2 linked regions of the Sus scrofa genome follow. Each later gene encodes a partner of the first gene's protein in a complex. Links are inferred from orthologs where the notes say so. Each region holds a gene or a part of one and is shown in the gene's direction. Other genes may lie near its edges.

The links.
Region 2: the proteins of ACTL7A (region 1) and TES are in contact, whole or in part, in a crystal structure (PDB 2XQN), measured with the Homo sapiens proteins. The link is inferred for Sus scrofa from reciprocal best matches to the Homo sapiens genes ACTL7A and TES. Residues at the interface, in NP_006678.1 of Homo sapiens: Leu28, Gln29, Thr30, Ala31, Ser32, Leu33, Arg34, Asp35, Gly36, Pro37, Ala38, Lys39, Arg40, Ala41, Val42, Trp43, Val44, Arg45, His46; in NP_056456.1 of Homo sapiens: Asn311, Glu312, Tyr313, Thr314, Gln315, Ala316, Glu317, Leu323, Phe326, Leu335, Ala336, Gly337, Glu338, Ile339, Tyr340, Val341, Tyr353, Pro370, Glu371, Val372, Gln373, Arg374, Val375, Thr376, Tyr377, Ala384, Phe389, Leu398, Ile399, Gly400.

Annotation. Positions count from the first base shown.
Region 1 is NC_010443.5:249,881,789-249,885,330, forward strand, and holds ACTL7A (actin-like protein 7A), read left to right. Parts: upstream 1-1,458; 5' UTR 1,459-1,522; coding exon 1,523-2,842; 3' UTR 2,843-2,972; downstream 2,973-3,542. UniProt on the Homo sapiens protein: Essential for normal spermatogenesis and male fertility. Required for normal sperm head morphology, acroplaxome formation, acrosome attachment, and acrosome granule stability.
Region 2 is NC_010460.4:29,895,318-29,898,258, reverse strand, and holds the end of TES (testin), read left to right. Parts: intron 1-1,126; coding exon 1,127-1,315; 3' UTR 1,316-2,381; downstream 2,382-2,941. UniProt on the Homo sapiens protein: Scaffold protein that may play a role in cell adhesion, cell spreading and in the reorganization of the actin cytoskeleton. Plays a role in the regulation of cell proliferation. May act as a tumor suppressor. Inhibits tumor cell growth.

The DNA of each region.
Region 1 (3,542 bases):
CTAAGAAACTGCCCCCATCAGATAGTCACAAGGCTCATGAGACTGGACTTGGCCATTTTCTTCTCTCACATCCCAAAAGGAACAAAGAACATCCCAGTAACTTCCTTAAAAAAGAAAGCCCACCATTGCAGTGACTGCCTCTTTTATTGAGAGCATGGTGCTATATAACCTAAGGCAGGGTTCTGGGTGCCCTGAGAGCATCAGGTGTCAGCACCAACATGCCTGGCTTCAGAGATGACATGTGAGACAGCAGCCAAGCAGCCTCAGAGACATGTGTCAGGTCCCATCATGATGTGTCCATAGGAAACCCCTGGGAAGAAGTTGTAGTTAGCAGAGCTTGACACTGCTGGCTGGATATCCTTGGGGGAGCTATGCACCCAGGACCCCTGATGTTCTCATCAGTGGGACTATAGGGTCTAATTTCATTGCCAACCCAATGACCTGGACGAAGGAGGAGTATGTGTGCAAATGAGTGTCTGCAGTAATTCCTCTGAAGGTCGCCCTAAGAAACAAGCAGGACAAAATTGCTGGGCAGAGTCACCACAGCCGCAATTGGTCCTGCTGAAATCTAAATCATATAGTGTCAACTCTCTGCTCAAAATTCTCCAGTGCTTTCAACCTCACAGAGAGTCAGAGCCAAAGTCCTAGCAATGGCCTGTGAGGTCTGAGCCGCTCACCCTCCCCCAGCCCTCCTCCCATGTCACATTTCTGGGCTCTCTCCACAGTAGCCACACTGGTCGTCTTGGGATCCTCTGACTCTGAGATCAGCAAACTTTTTCTATAAAGGGCCAGATGGTCAATATTCATCATTAGCTTTACAGGCCATAGAGTATTTATTGCAATGACTCAACTCTGAGGTTGTAGCACAAAAGCAGCCATTGACAATATGTAAATGAGTGAGCATAGCTGTGATCCAATATAACTTTATTATAAAAACAGTCCGCAGGTCTGATTTTGTAGACCCCTGCTCTAAACCCCTGTCATCTGCACCTGCCACTCCCCAAGACACACGTGGAGCCCTCCCTGACCCCTTCAGGTCTTCACTCAAGTGTCACTGTCTCAGGGAGCCCTGCCCAAGCACATGAACACAGCCACCCTGCCCTGCTCCCTTCCCTGCTTTGCTTTTCCATTTTGCTCTTAACACTTTCCAACATATATTTATTTTGGTTATTGCCTGTCTCTCCCCAACCCCCACTGACTAGAACGTCGGTTCTAAAGGGCAGAGATTTTTGCCTTTTTTTTTTTTTAACTGCTGCCTGCCTTGTACACAGCACTCAAAAAATATTAACTGATTGGATAAACAGGGTTTATTACAAAATTTAGAAAAGAGTAAGTCACCTCAAAAACACTATCCCAAATCTACCCTAACACAGGACAAACTTCCCAGTATCTGGGAAGCCCTGGGTCACCGGATTATGTCATAATCAGTGATGTCATCATTGGGGAAATTCTCAAGTTGCCCTCTCATTTAAGTCTTTCAGGCCTTGAAGCCTGTGGGATTGAGGAACTTTCTGAGAACAAGATGGCTCTTGAGAGCATGTGGGCTCCACAGGCGGCAATCATAGGGGATGGGCCTTCCAAGGGAGGGGGTGAACAGGCCTCCCTGCAGACCCAGGGCCTCCAGACGGCCTCCCTGAGGGAAGGCCCAGCGAAGCGGGCAGTGTGGGTTCGCCGCAACCATTCGGAGACAGAAGAACCTACTAAATCGCCAGCAGTCAAGAAGCCCAAGCTGGAGGTGACCAAAGCAGTAGTCGTGGACCTTGGCACGGGCTACTGTAAATGCGGCTTTGCCGGGCTGCCAAAGCCCACCCATAGGATCTCTTCGACGGTGGGCAAGCCCTACATGGAGACCGCCAAAACTGGGGACAATCGCAAGGAGACATTTGTGGGGCACGAGCTCATCAACCCAGAGGTTCGTCTCAAGCTAATGAATCCTCTGAGACATGGCATCATCGTGGACTGGGATACGGTGCAGGATATCTGGGAATATCTCTTCCACCAAGAGATGAAGATCGCCCCTGAAGAGCACGCAGTCTTGGTTTCGGACCCACCCCTGAGCCCACACACCAACAGAGAGAAGTACGCGGAGATGCTGTTTGAGACCTTCAAAACTCCCGCGATGCACATCGCCTACCAGTCCCGCCTGTCCATGTATTCCTACGGGAGGACCTCCGGCCTGGTTGTGGAGGTGGGCCATGGTGTGTCCTACGTCGTCCCCATCTATGAGGGCTATCCTTTGCCCAGTATCACTGGACGACTGGACTACGCGGGTTCTGACCTGACCACTTACTTGATGAGCCTGATGAACAGTTCGGGGAAACACTTCACCGAGGACCAGCTGTGCACTGTGGAGGACATCAAGAAGAAATGCTGCTTTGTGGCCCTGGACCCCATTGAAGAGAAGAAAGTCCCAGCCAACGAGCACACGATCCAGTACACCCTGCCAGATGGGCAGCAGATATACCTGTGCCAGGAAAGGTTCCTCTGCTCAGAGATGTTCTTCAAGCCTTCTCTGATCAAGTCCATGCAGCTGGGCCTCCACACCCAGACGGTGTCCTGCCTTAACAAGTGTGACGTCGCCCTCAAACGAGACCTCATGGGGAACATCCTGCTCTGCGGGGGGAGCACCATGCTCAGCGGTTTCCCTAACCGTCTGCAGAAGGAGCTGAGCAGCATGTGTCCCAATGATACCCCCCAGGTAAACGTGTTGCCCGAAAGAGATACTGCTGTGTGGACGGGGGGCTCCATCCTGGCCTCGCTTCAGGGCTTCCAGCCACTGTGGGTCCACCGTTTTGAGTATGAGGAACATGGGCCTTTCTTCCTCTACAGAAGGTGCTTCTAAGTACTGCTGAAGCGTGGTTGCTCTGGTTGCCATGCATCAGCTTTGCTGGGTGACCACCCATCCCATACACAGGGAAATGAGCCAGCATGTTCACTCCTGCAGTATTAAACAGTCCTCATATTTCCCTCCACCATTGTGTGTTTCTCTATTTTCTGATGCAAGGAGATCGTCATACCTGTAGCATCTACCTTAAAATATACATTTGCCAAAACAGAAGCAGGGGTTGGGGTGAGGGGAAGGGAGCAAGGGGGGTGATTATGAACCAAAAAAACATGCATTCTATATTGATCGCTTAAGTATTTGGGGGACAAACTACCTCTGAAATTATTCTGTCCCTTTTTTTATGCATTCCCCACTATAGTACTGTTAAACTCTGCTTGCAAGGGGGAGTTATGATAAAGATAGATTAGATAGATGGAGTTCCCATCGTGGCTCAGTGGGTTAAGGATCTGACATAGTCTCCATGACAATGTAGGCTAAATCCCTGGTCTTGCTCAGTGGGTTAAGGATCTGGCGTTACCGTGAGCTGTGGCATAGGTCGTGGATTGCGCTTGGATCCCACGTTGCTGTGGCTGTGGTGTAGGCTGGCAGCTGCAGCTGATTTGACCTCTAGCCTAGGAACTTCTGTATGCCACAGGTGCAGCCCTAAAATGCCGAAAAGAAAAGGTTATCTAGAGTAAATGCTGTTGTGACTTATAAG
Region 2 (2,941 bases), on another chromosome or scaffold:
TTTTTACCAAGGTGAATCTGTATGGCCATATCATAATCATCCTAAATCCATAGTTTACCTTAGGGTTCATTCTTGATATTGTGTATTCTGTGGGTTTGGACAAATGTATAGAATGGACAAATAACATGTATCGAGCATTGTAATATCATATAGAATATTTTCACTGGCCTGAAAGCCCCCTGTGCTCTGCCTATTCATCTCTCCCACCTCCCTGCCTGCCTCCTGTACTGCCTAGCCCTCAAAACCACTGATCTTTTTATTTTCTCCATAGTTTTGCTTTTTCTAGAATGTCATATAGTTGGAATTATAGAGTATGTAGCATTTCCAGATTATAGAGTATGTAGCATCTCCATAGTTTTGCTTTTTCTAGATTGTCATATAGTTGGAATTACAGAGTATGTAGCATTTCTATTACTTAATAATGTGTATTTAAGGTTCCTCCCTGGCTTGATAGCTCATTTCCTTTTAGCTCTGAATAGTATGAATGTACCATAGTTTATCCATTTACCAACCGATGGACATCTTGGTTGCTTCCAAGTTTTGGCAGTTACAAATAAAGCATCCATGCACAGGTTTTTGTATGCACCTAAGTTTTCAACTCATTTAGGGAAATAGCAAGGAGCACGATTGTTGGGTTGTGTGGTGAGAGTATGTTTAGTTTCATTATAAGAAACTGTCTTCCAAATTGGATGTATCATTTTGCATCCCCACCAGCAGTGAATGAGAGTTCCTGTTGTTCCACATCATTGCCAGCATTTGGTGGTATAGGAAAAAACCATAAAAAAATTTTCCTAATAATTACTAAAAATGTGCAATCTAATAGAATATGCTGGGACCGAACACACTGCTTTGGTACTTGCCATTAAGACTCTCTGCCTTGAACACTGTAGGGACATCCTGTTTGGACTTATCTGTTATTTCTCAGTGTTCCGCATGTAGACCTGCAGTGACAGTTGTTGGCTCTGAGGGTTAACTAGAAGGTCATTCTCGGTTGTCTATCTTTGAAGTTCTCATTCTCAGTTTAATTTACCATCTGGAGAAATGCACTGAGCTTGTTCTCACATGAAAATGTTACCATCACAGTTTGAGCTCTAATCCTCTTTTCTTTGTATAATTGACTTAACAGGTATGTCAAGGATGCCACAATGCCATTGATCCAGAAGTACAGCGGGTGACCTATAACAACTTCAGTTGGCACGCGTCCACAGAATGCTTTCTGTGCTCTTGCTGCAGCAAGTGTCTCATTGGGCAGAAGTTCATGCCAGTAGAAGGGATGGTGTTCTGTTCAGTGGAGTGTAAGAAGATGATGTCTTAAGAGGAGAGCACCAAACAGTATTGAGCCATAGCTCTCCAGAGGGGTCTGCATTTCTACTGTAAAATGCAATTTGGAAAAATAAACAGAAAAAAAGAAACTCTAAAGGAAACCAGGAGATTTTGTTTAGTATCTTTCTTTGCTGTTTTACCAATTTTTTTTCTCATCACAATTTTTAAAACCTGCCTTAAGCATTTGATTTTTAAAATGGTAAAATATTTTACCTTTTCTTAGCTTTCTAGATGTAAAACCTTCTGAGTTGGAAGTTTGGGTTTGATCAGTCTTCATATTTCTACCCTCTTTGTGCCAACACAGTATATATGAAACATTTAAAAGCCAGTATTTGAATGGAAAGATAAGCATTTCATGTTCTGTATTCCTTTTCCGTTCTTCTATAAAAATGAAAAGGAAATTAAACTTGCCCTAATGTCAAGGCCTTACATTTATCACTTCATCTTATTCACTCAATTTTGTAGCATGATACATGGTGAATTCCTGTGACAGAGAAGATAGAAATGCAGCAAGTATGAAGAGCTTTTATCATTTTAATACCTATGCATTTGCTATTTCCTAACATAGGCAGAGGCGGCTTTATTGCATATCTCTATTTTTTTAATTTGCTCTACCTCTCAGTATTCTCTTCTAAGCTGGTGACCTCTATCTGTGGCCTTGAATATTTTATTGTCACTTGTGGCATCCACATTTTTTACTTTTATAAGTGATTTTTGGCTTGGACATAAAATAAGCCACTCATTTATATTGTCTTCAATCCAAAGAACAGCACACTTTTTGTATCCAGGAAGCTATATAATTTGTACTATTTTCACTAACCTGCTGTGATTTGGATGGACTTTTTGCTTGATTTTCATTCTTTTCTAATAGATACTGTCCTCTGACACCTATTCATGGGTATATATCAAATGTCTTTTTTGCCTGTATACTTCCATCCTTATGTATTTCTAATGTTTATTTTTCCCTATATATTTACATACATAGCTATGCAGTATGAAAATTAAATGGAGTGAATGATATGATATTATTATTCAAAATAAAATCTCTTTCACTTTAATGATTGTACCTCTATTCTTCATATCCCTTTCATTTGAGAGCAAAAAAAAAAAAAAAAAAAAAAAAAAATCCTTTTGCAATTAAGCACTTGTTACAGCAGGGGGCAGTGTTTCCAAAGATAAAAAATAGGCCTCCAAAATAAAGACAATTTCTAACGAGAAAGGACAGAAACTAGGCTTTTCATTATGGTGAAGGTATGTTTTATGAAACTTTATAATAAACTATTTAAATTCTTGGTTTTCAAGTTATGCAGGAGTTTTTTCTTTGCAAAAGAAGGAAAGTATCATTTTAATTGAAGTTTGGGAAAGCTATATTCTCTTGAGGTGAATCTAACAAGTATTACTCTTACACTCAAATTGCAGCTCTATTTGATTTTCTAAGAATTTTTTCATGGCAATATATTGAGGAAAGGAAGTGAACATGGAAGAGTAGTAGTTTCATTCTTCCTAATATTAGTAGGTCATGAGATTTTTTTTTTCCCCTCAGTCTGAACTATTTATATCATAGTGGGAGTAGCTCTTTTCTGTGACACATACCCAGAATAATTTGATTTTGATTTTT